2 linked regions of the Rattus norvegicus genome follow. The protein of the gene in region 1 interacts with the protein of each later gene in a biochemical or structural test. Links are inferred from orthologs where the notes say so. Each region holds a gene or a part of one and is shown on either strand. Other genes may lie near its edges. The genes, in order: Cry2 and Fbxl3.

Evidence for each region.
Region 2: the proteins of Cry2 (region 1) and Fbxl3 form a complex in vitro, tested with the Homo sapiens proteins (2 studies listed by BioGRID, with this or other methods). The link is inferred for Rattus norvegicus from reciprocal best matches to the Homo sapiens genes CRY2 and FBXL3.

The regions. Positions count from the first base shown.
Region 1 is NC_086021.1:98,834,799-98,843,349, reverse strand, and holds part of Cry2 (cryptochrome-2), read left to right. Parts: intron 1-1,278; coding exon 1,279-1,419; intron 1,420-3,576; coding exon 3,577-3,888; intron 3,889-4,097; coding exon 4,098-4,249; intron 4,250-4,371; coding exon 4,372-4,574; intron 4,575-4,828; coding exon 4,829-4,921; intron 4,922-5,737; coding exon 5,738-5,883; 3' UTR 5,884-5,885; intron 5,886-8,551. UniProt on the Homo sapiens protein: Transcriptional repressor which forms a core component of the circadian clock.
Region 2 is NC_086033.1:86,328,628-86,337,178, forward strand, and holds part of Fbxl3 (F-box/LRR-repeat protein 3), read right to left. Parts: coding exon 8,381-8,551; intron 5,521-8,380; coding exon 5,398-5,520; intron 2,179-5,397; coding exon 2,007-2,178; intron 1-2,006. UniProt on the Homo sapiens protein: Substrate-recognition component of the SCF(FBXL3) E3 ubiquitin ligase complex involved in circadian rhythm function. Plays a key role in the maintenance of both the speed and the robustness of the circadian clock oscillation.

The sequences.
Region 1 (8,551 bases):
GAGATCATTATTTCATATTCCTGGCATGGAACTTGTTAGAGGAGAGTGTCAGGTCCCAAAGAAACCTGGGACAACTCACTCAATACCTGTGGCTCCTCCCAGCACCTTTCACTCTGCCCCCACCATAAACCTGCCAGCTCCAGGGCTGAGCTTCCCTGCCCTCAGCTAGAGTTATAGTCTAGCCATTTCGGCTGGTTCTCTTTTGGCCTCTTGGTCTTCAGCTCCTCTCTTGGTCCACTTGTCCTCTCCTCTTCTCTTGCTCTCCCCCTGCCCTCCCTTCTCCTCCCATGGCCCTGTTCAGCCTGGACTCTTCCAGATGCCTCTGGGTGAACTTTCTCTCATATCCACAATAAAATCCTTCTCTACCATACTTTGGCTCGGCTGTGTCCTCACGTTCATTCAGAGAGGAAGAAGGGGAGGGGAAAGCTTCTCAATGATATTGAGTGCCTGAATATTGAGGAGTTATCCCCAACTGCTGAGGAAGGGTAAGGTTTTTCATAGACTGCTCTTGCCTAATTGCCACAGGAAGGACAACTGAAGTCAGATAGGGAGGTGGGCAGGAAGGAAAGGCGTCAAGGACAGAGATGGTAGCATGGAGCCTGGAGCCTAAAGTGAGACTCCCACCAGGGCCCTGACCCCAAGGGAGTCACAGGAGTATTTTGAACCCAGTTACCCTATTTGTAGATGTTAGCATAGTTGATATTCAGAGTATTGTTATAGTCTAGTGAGCATCCTCCTCGGAGTGATGTCTCTGAGAAGCAGAACAATGTACCAGAACTGTGGAAGAGGAAAACAAGACCAATAATGAAAGACAAGAGGCCCCAGAAGTGAGCGCCTCTGTTGGTCTTTGGAAATGGATTGAGAGTTCGCTGTGTTCCTGGCTGTTTAGCAGTGATGCGGAGACCTTGTTGTGGTGGCAGCCTCGGGCTTCTGGTGCCTGAGCTGGGAATACTGTGTCTTCCCACCTAGGTTAGTACAGAGTTTGTTCTGTGTTCTCAGTGTTCTTTCCTACTTCAGTTACTCTCCAGAGACAGGGAATGCTTTTATTTAATAGCTAAGTAGCTGGGGAACTAAATAAGTCAGTCATAGTCATCCCACAGACTGAGCATCGAAGTCAAGACAAGAACATGGCCATTTCTCCTTCCTAGAGTCAGGCAGGAGAGGAGAATGCACACAGTGCTCCCAGCCTGGCTTTAGGGCCTTTCTTTGGGTTTTGTTTTTTGACCATAGATGAAGGTCAACACCTAGGCCTGACCTTGTGTTACCTCTCTTCTGCAGGCCTGGGTTGCCAACTATGAGAGACCTCGGATGAATGCCAATTCCTTGCTGGCCAGCCCCACAGGCCTCAGCCCCTACCTGCGCTTTGGCTGCCTCTCCTGCCGCCTCTTCTACTACCGCCTGTGGGACTTGTACAGAAAGGTGAGGTGCAGGGAACATGCACTGTGCCAGTCATCCCAGAAAAGGCCCCTTCTCTTTGGCTTTGGGACTGGGTTGTGAGAGTTCTGGAAACACTTAGTTCAGAGAAGCCAAAGATGGTTTGTTTCCTAGAGGTGACAGCTGGGCACAACTGAGTCACCAATGTGAATGAACCCAGCTTCTCCTGTGTTCTGGAGACAAAAAGCTGGCCTTGGGGGCTTTAGAGCTGGTGTCCTCACTAACAGCTGATAAGGAAAGGCTTGGGACCTGGGGAGGGAAGTGAGTGTTGAGGCAAGAGGCAGTCATAGCAAAGGCTCAGCTGCCCTCACTGGAGCTGGGACTGGAGTTTAAAGGGAAGTCCAGAGCTGGCCTGGAAGGGCTGCATACAGGACCGGGCCACGCAGCCCACAGGCTCTGTCAGAGCATTCCACAGAGATGCTCCTTAGGTCATGTGGTGCCTTGGTATTTAGTGTTGCTTTCCCCAACCCAGCCAGTATTAGCTTCATGGAATAGGGTAGCTTGGTAGGTTTGGTGGCTAGGTCATCAGGGGAGGAGGAGATCATTGTACAGTGTCCAACCTAATCCACTCATGTCTTGGACTGTTGTTTATACATTATTTAACCAAAATCCAGACTTAGTACTTTGTAATATTTTTAATACTGTATATTCTGATCACAGCTCCCCATTCCCCAATTACTTCTAGATTCTCCCTACTTTCCACCCAGTCAAGCCCACAGTCTTTCTTTCTCTGTCTCACTAGAATACAAACAGACATCTACAAAAAAAGAGGAAGAAAAAAACCCCTGAACTGGACAGAACTAATGAACAGGAGGAAAAAGCCCACATATAAGCACATACATTCACACACATGGAAGTCCCATAAAGCACAGAACCAAGACTATAATATATATGCAAAAGACCTGCATGCTGCAAGATTTAAATGAAGGAAGGAAGGAAGGAAGGAAGGAAGGAAGGAAGGAAGGGTGGAAGGGTGGAAGGGTGGAAGGAAGGGTGAGCCCAGCCAAAGTATTATGAGACACCCCCACCACCCAAAAAAAAAAATCCTCCAAAAGCACCATTGAGTTTCCTTGTGTTCACCACCTAAGTCAGTGTGTATACCCGAAAAGACTGCATTGGAGAAAGTGAATTTCCCTGTGAGCACTTATCAATTGGAAGTAGCTTCTGGGTTAGTGATGGGTGTGTCCACTTCCTCTGATGTGGGATCTCTTCTGACTTAGACCTGTGCAGGCCCTGTGCGTGCAGCCAGTCTGCGTGAGCTCGCTGAGCTTCAGCCCTGCTGTCTAGCAGGCCTGGTTTCTACGCTGTCTTCCATCCCCTCTGACTCTTACAGTCTTTTCATCTCCTCTTACAAAGAGCTCCCTGAGCCGAGGGGAGAGATTTGATGGAGACATTCCTATTTAGGACTGAGAATCCTGAAGTGTCTCACTCTCTGACTTTGTCCAGTTGTGGGTCCCTGTATTTGTTCCCATCTACTGCAAGAGGAAACTTCTAATGATGGCAGAGCAAGACACTCTATGACTATCTGAATGTCACTGGGAGTCATTTTATTGCTACATTCCTTTAACAAAATGGTAATGTTTGGTTTTCCTATAGGTTCGTGGCCCCTGGGCAGTGTCAGGGATGGCCTCATCTCATGGAGTGGGTCTTGAATTCACGTTGTACCAGTGTGTTACAGGCAGGCCACCATTGTAGACCAGAGGGTTTGCAACTGGTAGCGTGCAGAGCACTGTGAGCTCTCATTAGTAGGGGAAGGTGCTAAGTAGACACCACTCGCCCTCTCTAGGTTCAGTGAGTTGTTTAGCTGTTCAGATTTCATGTTTTTAGTTGCTGACGATGTGTAACATCCCATCAGGTTTCTAGAAGGTAGAGCCACAGGATTCAGAGTAGTCTTGAAGAATTTGGTTCCCGTGACAGTTCCATGGCACCACTTATTCCCCCAACCCACCGCTTAAGCCATTCCTGTTGCCCAGGGCAGGGCTGCATGTTGCACACTGTGAATCTTTGAAGTATCGACCCTCTATGCACCTCAGGGATTTGGAGCCACGGCTCTTGGGAGACACTCCAGGTTGTTCTGTGCAGGAGACACAGTGCTAAGAGCCAGGCAGGCTCTCATCTCTGTGTACTGTGCCCTCCTCTTAGGTGAAGAGGAACAGCACACCCCCCCTCTCCTTATTTGGACAACTCCTATGGCGAGAATTCTTCTATACAGCGGCCACCAACAACCCCAGGTTTGACCGAATGGAGGGGAACCCCATCTGCATCCAGATCCCCTGGGACCGCAACCCCGAAGCCCTGGCCAAGTGGGCCGAGGGCAAGACAGGCTTCCCTTGGATTGACGCCATCATGACCCAACTGAGGCAGGAGGGCTGGATCCACCACCTGGCCCGGCACGCTGTGGCCTGCTTCCTCACCCGAGGGGACCTCTGGGTCAGCTGGGAGAGCGGGGTCCGGGTGAGTGCAAACTGGCCTGAACCCTGTGACCAGGCCTAGCCAAGGGCAGCTCCTTGTAGGCTGGGGCTGGGGTGGGATTCCTGGGTCCAGGAGATCCCTCTGCATCCTCTGGGCCCTCAACAGAAGGCTTTGGCGCCCTGAGGGTATTACAGATTTGGAAAGAACCAGAGGCGTCGGGTTTCCAAGGAGGCTGGTTTTCCCCCATCTAGGTATTTGATGAGTTGCTCCTGGATGCAGATTTCAGCGTGAATGCAGGCAGCTGGATGTGGCTGTCCTGCAGTGCTTTCTTCCAACAGTTCTTCCACTGCTACTGCCCTGTGGGCTTTGGCCGACGCACGGACCCCAGTGGGGACTACATCCGGTAAGGATGCACACCAGACTCTTTGACTCTGGACCACTGTGGCCTCCTCCTGGACTGGGGTACCCTAGACCCTTTAAAGAAGAGTCACAGTGTGCTGACACATTACCTGATGTGTGTTTCAGGCGATACCTGCCCAAACTGAAAGGCTTCCCCTCTCGATATATCTATGAGCCCTGGAATGCTCCCGAGTCGGTTCAGAAGGCCGCTAAGTGCATCATTGGCGTGGACTACCCACGGCCCATCGTCAACCACGCAGAGACTAGTCGGCTCAACATTGAGCGGATGAAGCAGATCTACCAACAGCTGTCACGATACCGGGGGCTCTGTAAGGACCCCTCCCCCACTGGCATGTCACTCACCAGGGAGGGCTTGACCTGAAAGCTTGTGCAGGTGTTTGCTGCCCCCAGGCCGTGGTAGACACTGCAGGCTGGGCCAGGGTGGGCTGCTGAAGCAGCTGTGGGATGTTGGAAAAGATGGAGACTGTGTCCTGGTCCTGCGCTCCTGGCTCATTTGTCTCCCATGACTTGCAGCCCTCTTAATCTTGTGTGTGTTCTGACTACCCTTTACTTAATCCCCCAGGTCTGTTGGCATCTGTCCCTTCCTGTGTAGAAGACCTCAGTCACCCTGTGGCAGAGCCTGGTTCTAGCCAGGCTGGGAGCATCAGCAACACAGGTGACCAGTCTGTGGCCTGTGCCACCACCACATTAGTCATTCAGGGCTGAGGCCAAGAGAACACTTGGCTGGGGAGGTTGATATCCCACCTAGGCACAGTCAGACAATCAAGTAAGGACATTCACCTAAGGATTTTAGAGGGAAGTAGCGCTGAGTGCTTGATGTGGGACTGGGGACAGGGCTCCTTTAGGATCAGCCTGAGGGCACCTCTTTAAGCACTGTTTAGCATCATCTTGATAAGAACCACGAAAGGAAGTAGCAAGAAGGCCCCAAAAGCAGGCTTGAACAGAGCCCACTCTAGGAGCAGAAGGATCAGAATCAGGGATGAGGGGAGCAGGGCAGCTTTGGCACAGGCTGCCCTGCCTTCCTGCACTGAAGGTAGTCAGCAGGGCAAGGCAAAACCCCACTGCCTGCCACAGAAACAGTAAACAATGGGGAGATGAGGAGGAAGGTGGCTCAGGGTGTGGGCAGGAGAAGCGGCAGGAAAGAGCAAGGGTGCTGGTCAGTTTGGGATGCTCCACAACATAAAAGTTGCCAAAACCCTGGGATTTTCCCAGGACTGCAAAGGAAAGCCTTACCCTCCGAGCAAGGACTGCTCTGTGCCACATCAGTCTCTGGCCCGGAGCCAGGGATCTGCGCAGCAGAAGTTGGCCCACTGCCAGCAGGCTGGGCCAGGCCTCCTCCTGCAGCCAAGTGAGGTCACCGCTGAAAAGGAGGTCAGGGCAGGGCTCCCTTCCCCAAGAGCAGTCACTGCACAGCACGAGACCATTGCGGTATGTAACCATGACTTGTTTCTGTGTGGGTCACTCTCCACAGGCCCCAGACCACTGTCCAGTGGCCCAGCCTCCCCCAAACGCAAGCTGGAAGCAGCTGAGGAACCTCCAGGTGAAGAACTGAGCAAGCGGGCTAGAGTGACAGTGACTCAGATGCCTGCCCAGGAGCCACCAAGCAAGGACTCCTGAGAGTGAGTCCGCGCAGAGGGGGGCAGGCTGTGGTTTAAAAAGCTGTCGCTTGCCAGATGGAGGTTCAAACAGCAAAACAGATCAAAATCTTATGGGGGTCCTATTTTAGCTCAAAATCCCACCATTCTGGCTTTCATACCTTCTAAACCAGTAGTTCTCAACCTCGTAATGCTGCAGCCCTCAAATGCAGTTCCTCACATCGTGGTGACCCGAACCATAGAGTTAATCTCATTGCTACTTCAGACATGTAAGTTTGCCCCTGTTGTGACTCATCATGTAAGCATCTGAGAGTCAAGGTATCTAATATGCAGTGCCCAAAGGGGTCACAGCCCACAGGTTGAGAACCACTCCTCTAAACCTTTATTGGAGGGGAGGGGGTGGTTCGTTTATTTGTTTGAGACAGAGCTTCACTGGGTAGTTGAGGATAATTTTGGACCTGTAGCAATCCTCCTGCCTCATACTCCTGAGTGCTGGAATTTCAGATGTGAGCCACCATGTCTAGTTTACCCTCTAAAACTTAAAAGGAGAAAAAAAATGTTTTTAAGGACGAAGGGTTTATTTTGGAAGAAATAAATTTAGAAGTTGAAACCCTTTGATTTATGGCAAGGGTGAAGTGGGAGAGGGGGTAGTTTTGTTCTTTTTGTTTCCTTGACCTTTCTGGCTCTTAACATGAGCAAAACATGAGGTCCTGATGTGAGGCTATGAAGCAGTGGTGGGAGGCTGTGTTCTGTAGGCAGGCCACAGGAGGGCGACACTGAGGTTCAGATGGCAGGAAAGGGCTCAGCCCAGCCTTGGGGGATCAGAGGGCCCAGTTGTCTCTGCCTCTGCTTGCAGGGTCTCTTCTCTTCTCACTGGAGCTCATCTTTCTGCATCCGCAGTCATTCACAGAGGAAAGAGGCAAACAGAGAGGGAGGGCGTGTCAGTGTCAGCCTCCGCCCTGTTCCTCCTTCCCGAGGCAGGAAGGTTTCTAGGCCAGCACTGGAGAAGTGTAGGTCGCCATCCTCCCAGTCAGGCTGTTCCCGACACCTGCATCAGTAGATTGGAGGTGCTTTCCACCATGGAACTGCTTGGGTCTTCTCTGGTCCTGATCACTCAGGGCCTCCCTCAGCGGGGCTTCTGCAGTGTCTTGGTTTATGTGCTTATCCAGGTGGCAGGCACTTAGTGCTTTGTCCTCTAGACATTGCCAGCAGGAGGACAAGGTTGTGCTGCCTTGTCCCTGGAAGAGCCACCACCATAGATGCCATGTTCTCTGTGGTGCTAAGCACAGAGTGTGATAGCTAATGAATTTGCTTGGTTAACTTCCTGCCAGGCTGGTGCTGAAGGACAGGAATTCCTGCAGAGCTGCTGGTCTTCCATATGCATATGTACTGGTCAAAGAAGCTGGGTTCTGATGTCAGTGAAGAATGGCAGCAGCAGCAGCAGAGTAGATGCCCTTAGCAGCAAGGAGCTCAGTCAGACAGAAGCAGCCCTGCTTTTCCCTCGGATCTCCATATCTGGGCTACTGCTGTAAGGCACCGCCCTGGGGAGACTCCTACCCTTCAGTTAGACCTTCTAGAGCATGTCCACACAGACCCACTTGGAGACAAGTCCCTTGCTCCCAAATCCAATCAAGATGACAACTAATATTAACCCTCATGTCTGTGAAATGCTTTGTAGCTCTTGTCACCTGCCCTACTGTTGGGGCACACAGACTAGGATGTCAAGGAGAAAGTCAGAAGTTTTATCTGAAAAGTCTAACTGAGAGAAGCACACAGGCAGAGGGAGACTCAGAGAGGCCTTGCATGTGCTTCCAAGTGACTTTGATCACATGACTGGTGGGTCACAGAGAGGAAGGAGGCTGTGGGCCCAGTCAGTTGTGTGGATGGGAAGATGTGTCCCCTTCTGCCTATCTCTAGTCATGTGACTTGGACTTGAGGCCAAGGGTCTGAGTGATCCTTCCCCGAGTTCAGTCTCTTAGCTCTGCTCTGCAGCACTGAGATCCTGCTGTTAATGAGCAGTCATTACACTTTAAATCAGTACTCCAGAAAAACATCTCTAGCTTCCATGCTCACCTTAAACCCATGCCAACCGAATGTTCTACATTTAGTTTCCACAATGTTCACTAAACTGAAAAGAGAAAACACTGAGCTTCCAAATAGCAATCCTGTCAGCTGCTGCTGTAACCCCCAAGGCTGCTGACACAGGATTCCATCAACATCCGGTTATGCCCTGGCTCCTCTCATTGGTCCAGTGATCTGACCACCGGGCAGCACTTGTGCTTCACCTCCCTGCCTAGCTAGCACTGCACTGCAATCTTTCAAGAGAAGCCCTCCACGCACAGAGGGCCATGGCTAAGGAGCCCCTTCCCTCACTGGTCCATGATCTGTTAGTGCAGAGGTATCCTTGCCTACACCATGACTTCCAGAATCCCCATTGTTCCCCTGACACTCGCTCAACTTGTACATGACAGGTGTATTGCTGACAACCTATCTGGTGTGGAGATGGAGCAGCCCAGCCCTCCCAAAGAGCTGCGTCCTGGGCCTGTGGTCCTGGCTGCAGAATATCCAGGGGTATCTTAGCTGAGTCTCGGCTCCTGACTTGGAGCCATAAGAAAGGTGGCTCAGTGCTTTCCATAAATGATAAATGTTGGTGGAGATGTGTTTAAACTGATCTCAGGAACATATAACGT
Region 2 (8,551 bases), on another chromosome or scaffold:
CCGACAATGTTCTAAGTGATGAGGATGCAGACACTATTTTGTCGCACACTGAAAGTCAAGAATCATGTTTCACATGAACTGTGAATTATACGGTACATACATCCCACCCTCCCTCTTTGTTGTTTTTTTTTTTTTTTTGGTTCTTTTTTTTCGGAGCTGGGGACCGAAACCCAGGGCCTTGCGCTTCCTAGGTAAGCGCTCTACCACTGAGCTAAATCCCCAGCCCCTGTTGTTGTTGTTTTTGAGACAGGGTCTATCTGTACAATCACCCTGGCTGTCCTGGAACTTCCTTTGTAGACTAGATTGCCCTCGAACTCACAGAGATCCACCTGCCTCTGCCTCCCAAGTGCTGGGATTAAAGGTGTGCACTACCACACCTGGCTCATAAATTCTTTTTCAGTAAAAGTTTTATGATGATGATGTGTTGATGAGTAGGTTAAAAAGTTTACAGACTATTTCACAAGGCACAGAGTGCTGACTGGAGGTCAAAACAAGTCCACTTCTCTAGGGCTCACAGCTCGCAGGACATGGGAGTGAAGAGCAAACAAGGTGGGTGGAGGTTAGGGACAAAGGACCTTGTACACTATGAACCTGAGGAAGACAGACCTTACTCACAGCAGACAATAAAATGTGGTCAAGGTCAAATAGAAACTAACTGTCAAGGTCTATTAGTCTATTCTTAGCTTCTATTCTGTAATCCTTTCAGTGATCATGCACAAGAGGCTGAGACAATAGGTAAACACACAGCACGCCTAGTACTCCGATCGCCAGACCCTCGGTGATCTGGGAGAACAAGCGAAGCAGCTGAGTGAACTGCTTAGACCGCGGTAGCATGACGGTTGTGCTGCTTTTTGGTCACACTGACGATGTTCTAAGATTAGTGATGAGGACGTAGACACTATTCTGTCAGTCATTTCAGGGAATTCCAATCCTTTGCTATACTAGGAAAATAAAACAAACCAGCACTAACAGACTGCTGACCAACACCGCTGAAGACAGGGAGGGGCTTCAGCAGCGGAGAGGTCAGCAATGAACCATCAGCACAAGGATGAGAACACATTTATACTCTTCAGTATGAACGAGTCACTTGTAATTCAAAAAATCTCACTCTGGACAATGCACTAAACTTAGAAAAGTCTACATAAAGTAGCTGGAAAGACCTCTTACAATGTTATTCCTACAATTTAAGTTTTAAAGAGAATTCTCTCTCAAAAAAAGGCAACCATACTTAAATGCATCTCTATGTAAGAAGTAACTGTGTTCTGACCCAAGGCACCGACACCTCACGTTAGTGGGATTCTAGTTTATCTCAACAAGCTCTCTCAGCAGACCTTACAGCATCACCTCGCGGTTTCAATGTGAAATGTCTCTCACAAACTCATGCTTGAACACTCTGGTCACAGCTGTTAGTGCTGGTTTAGAAGGTTGTGGAGCTTTTGGTGGAGCCTGATTAAAAGAAAGGAGGCACTGGGCTAAGGCCCAAGGTTTTATAGCTGTGGTCCACTTTCCCTACCCTTCAAAGAGGCTCTGCTGTCCTGTGTCCTACACTGAACCTTCCCAACCATCGTGACTAGCACTTATAACCATCGTGACTAGCACTTACAACCATAGTGACTAGCACTTACAACCACAGTGACTAGCACTTACAACCATAGTGACTAGCACTTACAAACTGAGCCCAGAGATGCTTCATCCACCCTTAGCTGCTTTTGTCAGATAACTCTGCCCCTGCAGCGAGTAGCTAAGAAACCTTCCTCTCTTCTCAAGTCATTTATCCATGCTCTACTCAATCTGCCACATAAAATGACTTGAAAATAGGATGAAGTCAGTCTAAGCTAGAATACTGCAGATATTACTACTGTCATTAGGACACTGAGTATTTTTTGAAGAAAAATGGTTTTGCTAATTCATTTACAAGTTCATTAGCAGAACTATTAAATAAACAAATTTCTTAACTTGAGAAACAATATAATTACTAAAAGATGTCTGGAAAAAACACGACATACCTGCTGGAGAGACATGAGGACAGCTGCTCATTTTCAGCAGCTTGAGTGTGTCACTGTTGTTGGCCACTAGGACTTTAAGGGATGGGTCATCTACTGGGGTGTCGTCTATCTTAAGTGAGGACAGGGATTTGGAGTTTACAAACACAACTGTCAGTGCAGAGATAAAGTGAGACTGAAAGACAAAAGATTAAAACAGTTTCAGTTCTTCAGAAATGACGTTACAAGGTTTCCTTACCACGCATGTCTGTCTGTGCCCTAAAGAATTTCCAAACTGTTAGAAGGCAGCAGCCCTGCATGAGGTTAGCAAAGCACAGTTAAAGAGGGGAGCACTCTGAGAAAAGCCTTTGTGCCTGTGGAGGGAAGGGTCACTTCAAGCCTCAGAATACCCTACGTGACAGCAACCTCAGAGGTCAGAGAGGAACCTATAACCCAGTCTAAGTCTCCCCCACACGCACACCTCACCATATCTGGAAGCTAAAGTCCCGTACACTGCACCACATAGGAAAGAGCATCAACAGAAAATACTGGACAATCATCAAGATGTAAGTCAGTCAACTCAAAGGCTGTAACTCAACTGAACCATGGAAGCACATACAAAGACTTTAAAACAACCAGAATCCATTTAAAAATTCCAAACTTAAAACCCTCTCAAAACACTGAATCTAAAAGATTTTCAAGTCTTGATTTTAATGTATTTTACTTATAATCTACTGAACACAGACCTAATCAAAAGGAATTCTACAGAAACAAGAACGACAGCATATGTAGAGCGCACACTGTGAATCAGAGCTGAGATGAGCTGCAATCAATGGGTACAGAACTCAGGGAAGAAAAGGAAGACCAAGCTTCAGCACACATCCGCAGAGCCAACCTCATCCTACACCTACCTCTGTAAATCCTCCACAGCAGGATCAGAGCAGGAAGCCATCCTAACAGACAATGCAGCATAAGGGAAACTACCTCCCTGCTCACAATCCTTAACTTGCTTTTCCTTTACTGTGTCTAAACAACTGATTTATAAAATTGTGCTTAAATACCTTAAGCATTAATATCATATATCTTGAAATCAAACAAGTGCACCTTCCATGACCACAGTTCCTTACTAGTAAGCCCATAACTACATACTAACGTCTTTCCTCTCTGTCCTGATGTAGTTATGGCCACATATATTTCTTCTATTTTTAATTCTTTTCAGAATAGCGAAAATCTTATTTCAATCTTTTCTAAAAAACAAAAATTAAAAAGGACAATAAGCATCTAAAGCAGCTACATCAACAGTTCTTAAATTAGCACTGCATATATAATATGTAAACTGAGATCCCAAATAATAAATCAAATTATGTTCAAAATACTTTATAACAGTTTAATCTATATAGATAATTTTTTTGTTTTTGTTTTTTTCCCCAAGATAGGATTTCTCCATGTAGCCCTGGCTGTCCTAGAACTCTCTCTGTAGTCTAGGCTGGTCTAGAACTCGCAGAGATCTGTCTGCCTCTGCTCCCCGAGTGCTGGAATTAAAGCTGTGTGCCACCACCACCATCCAGCCACATTTAAAAAATAATGGCAGGTACAAAAAGATATCAGAGTATTTCATTTCCCACTAGGCTTGAAAAAGCTGGCCCTACACTGCGTAAACTCAGTCTCCTAGAATCCTCTGGACTGTCCACAGAAGACTTGGCCTCAGCCAAATTTAGGAGTAAGAGTCCAAATCTGTACATGGCCAGACCTAAGAGTTGCAGAGACCTGACTCAGGTACATTAAACAGATTCTATTTTCCATTTTTCTTCCTTGCTCCTAAGAAAACATTCTATTTTAAAATGTACAAGATTACTGAAACTTAGAGGTTTTGAACTCACAATATTGTATTGGGTTCTGCTATTCAATTGGAAGAATTACCTACTAGTTATAATTCACACTTCCTGAGTCCCTCTAGTACAATGAACTGTGAGCCGAGCCTACATATTTGGTGCTGGAGAGATGGCCCATCAGTTAAGAACACTGGCTGCTCTTCCAGCAACCACACAGCCACTCACAGATGCCTACAACTGCAGCTCTAGGGATCCAACATGCTCTTCAGGTCTCCATGGGCATCGGGCATATACACAGCACACATACCTACACACAGGCAAAAACACGTACATACCTAAAGTAAAAATAAAGCTTTTTTCTTTAACCTACATTATTTTACTTTGTGGCATACTTTTAAAAATTCCTTTTTCAAATTGCAATTAGCTAGTTTGGGGATGCTGCTCAGTGGTTAGGACACTTGCAAGGCCACAGATGCGATTCTCAGTAACACAAACACACATTGCTACTGGGTGCAAACCAGAGAGCAGCTTTCTGGCCTTCTCAAAGGCATTCTGATAAGTTTTCTATTTCAAAGAGAACAGGTGTGGGTCAAGGCCAATTACCGCTAAGTTTTACAAACCAAGTCCCAACCCTGGAACCCACGTGGCAGAAAGAGAGAGGCTCCTGCAAGCTGTCCCAACTGTCACATGTGTACACACACCAACTAAATGTAACCAAAAAACCCCCAAGTTTTTAAAAAGAACACTTGTATGGTACACTGTTGTTTAATTAGGTATAGACCAACACAAACAGTAGTTAAATTCTCCTAAGAATAATTAAATGGCAGATAATCCAAACTCTATAGACATTAACTTTGCTTAAAGTACATTTGCCAGAAGAGTTTACATTCTGAGCAGAGTACACCTGCTCGACCCTGCATTCCTACTTCTGATGTTTCACTTCACCCACCTGATCTGACCTTCACTCCTACTTCTGATGTTTCACTTCATCCACCTGATATGACCTTCATTGCCTACTTCTGATGTTTCACTTCACCCACCTGCTCGACCCTGCATTGCTACTTCTGATGTTTCACTTCACCTACCTGATCTGAAGGCTCAGAAAGCAGCAGTGCCCATGGCTCTCTTTCTGACACGGTTAGTCTCAGTTCCACTCGCTCCTTTTAGCACTTCCACTACTCAACGGCCTTCTGTCAGGTCACTTGCTCTAACATCACCAACAACGAGGTACTGCTTGAGAGCATATTGTACTGCTGCTCTGGTACAGGACCTAGGTTTGGTTACCAGCACTCACATGCTAACTCCTACCTGCCTGTAACTCCAGATCCTGGGGATATGACACCTTTTTCTGGCCTCTGCAGGCATCAGACACACATGAGGCACACATACTTACATGGAAATAGGATGCTTATACACACTAAGAAATTAAAAACTCCTTAAAATTGCATTCTAAATACTTTCTCAAGACTGTAAACCACCACCAGCTCTCCAGTGCACATCCTGCTCTGCTGTCCTGTCTGCCTCACTGTAGGCACTAACAATGGATTCCTCTGCAAAAGGAAATACACCAGCCCAGCAGATACCTTTGGTAGATCCATAAAGCTTGGCCGAGCAGTTGAAATAAGTCCAAGCGTTTTTAAAGAGCAATTCACAAGCTGCGATAATATATCACAAGCTGCTTCAGCGGATTCTTTGCTGCTGTCCACCTTAGAAAGAAAACACGGCTTATTCACGTACATACCCACATTTCTCTTTGAGTATCTTAATCTTAGAAAGGCAAGAAATATAGTTACTAATTTGGCCCATTATCATTTAAAGGACAAGGATTTTTAATCATTTCTGTCCCACAGCCTCAGTCTAATTTTCAAGAATGTGTTCATTATAGTATACACACACATATATATGTATGTATATACATATATATAAAAATTTGGTGCTGTAAGACTAAATTGACTTATTTCAAACTAACTATAAAATCAATCAATTTTGTGTTTCAGTAATAATTTGTACTTGGTCAAATCACATAATACATGTAAACAGTGTCTATGATGAACTGTTTCAGGGCACCAGAAGAAACTAGTATCTATTTGTTTAGAATTCTCAGATGAACCACACAACCTGAAATTCTCTAATGCTTTTAATAGAAAGATAAATATAGAATAAAATAAGGGTGTCTAACTAAACAAGCACAAAATAATAGGAACCAAAATAGAGGCAGCTGCTCTTACACACTTCCTGCTGAGACGTTTCTTGAAGAAAACAACATTATCAAACACCAACCCCTGAAGGGGAAACATCAGTTTTTCTCTAGACTAAAAATGTTAAAATATAGTACCATTATTCTTATTTCTAAATTTGTGTTTTACTGAATCCCAAAGGTGCTCTTAAATGCTATAGTGTGTGAAACTAGCGTACTAATTACAGTTTTCAAAATGAACTTGCCGGATCACAGGAAAGTCATCAAGTACTGAAGACATTCCCATTCTTATGCTTAAACCACGTGGCTGAGAGACTCTGAGGGGACTGAGCACGGTTTTTGGCTTTACACTTCCCTTGGTGAGACTACTGAACGGTCTGAAAAGCACTGATCTGGACTAATAAATCTGACTCTAAGTTTTTTCAGTCTATACTGACCACTAAGAAGCCAGAATAATCCCTGCAATGTGTCTGCTTTCTAAATTAGAAAATACTTCTTCACACGCAGACATCCCGAATGAGAAATGTTAAACACAGCTGGATGTATGAGTCATGTATGTTGGACAGAGCTGACTTGTGTCAGAGAACCCAGCTGACCTACCATATGCAGGAATGATCTTTACAATTCCTTTCTATAGATTTGCCATTGCAATGCTCTAGGGCAACTCAAAGATGAATAAAACCGAAGGGAAAGCACTTCAGGTTCCCTCCATGGAGTGGGGTAAGGAATTCCTCAACATTTGTTTGCTTGAATCCTACCCCTTATCAAACAAATAATACATCCAATTGGAATTTCAGGTAAACAAAACAATAATTTCTATCAATAGGTATCTGTGGGATGCATCCACACTAATCATTATCAGTGAAGTCCAGTAAAATTAATGAACTAGGCACCTTTTTTTCCCTCTTGACACAGAGTCCTTCCTGCTAAGTATCTCTGGCTAGCATTGAACTCACCCTCAGCCCCGGCTGGTCTTAACAGGTATCCTGAGAACTTTCTCTTTGGCTATAACTGACAATGCTATGCCTAACAAGCTAGGGCTTTTATGCACACAATCTCTTCAGTCACACTTACTACCAAGCTCTCCTACCTCACAAGGAAGATAGCATCTAGTGACGGCATGAAGCTCTGGGTTAGGACCACTGCTTAGAACAGATTTATCATGGCCCTTTAGCAAACAGAAAATAGAGGGAAACCAGGCAATTCTTGTCCTTTTACTACAGTTTTTGCTTTTTATCTTTACCATTTTGAAGAGATAAGTTCTGACTGCATATAGGGCAGGAAGGCCTTAAACTGTTGACTCTTGCCTCAGACTCCCCAGCATGCTTTTTAGCCCACTTTTATCTTTTAACAATAATTACCATTTAGAAATCATATAGGAAACAATTAGCGTTAAGGAGTCAGCAAGCATCCCATATTTCTTTCTTCTCTCCAAAATACAGTGTGATTTTGTTCTCACACGAGCTACTGCAATCAATATATTCAGATCTCAAAATGCCTCCTCCCTCACCCACCTCAATATTTGTGAATCTTGTATGTCCATTGCAACATGTCCATTTTTCCACGAATCCTCCTGTTTTCTTCTAAAATATTCTCAAATTATTTAGTCTCTATATATTTTTGTTTTGTTTTTAAGGTAAAAACATACCACAACCATGCACTCCTTTAATCCCAGCACTCAGGAGCAGAAGCAGGCAATTGAGAGTGAGACCAGCCTGATCTACAGAATGAGTTCCAGGACAGCCAAAACTATTTGGAAAAACCCTGTTTCAAAACACCACCACCACCCCCCCAAACAAAACAAAACAAAACAAAACAAAACAAAACAAAAAAAACCAAAAAAAGCAAAAAAACAAAACAAGACCAAAAAACCCACCCCCAAATCAAATCCCAAACCAAACCAGCCACAATGCAGTGGTTCTTAACCTTCCTAAGGCTATGAACCTTTGATACAGTTCCTCATGTTATTGTGACCCCAACCATAAAAGTTACTTCATAAAGTAACAATGTAACACCCTAAAGGAGTCTGGACCAGTAGGCTGAGACCCACCGCCCTAATGTTTATTGTTTAGTTCTCTTTCCTCAAATTTGCTGCCAACCATCCACCATTAAGTTCAAACTTCAGTCAATTATTTATGCTCACTTAGTGGCTTCCTTTGCTCTTTTAAGAAATTAACTGTAAAGGACTATTTTAGTTCCAGCAAATATAAAAATTATTTGTAAAGAACTCTAAGGCATGCAATAATTTTAAAATATTAAGCACTTTCCCTGAAAATTTAACTATTTTAAGGACATAAGAAGTTGTATTGGTTAATATTAAAGTCAGTAAACATGCTTCTATTTTCTAACAGAAGGAGTGGGGGTATTACCTTGAAGCTGACATACTGCAGATGATTTGAATGCCTCTTAATAATCTGTTTGATCAGCTCTGGATGTGTAGCTTTCAAGTAAGATGTAGCTGGCTGATTCAGTTCAAATTCAAAACATCGCCACAAGTCAGGCATGTGAAATACCTGATTCCAATTCCGGCACACTTGAGA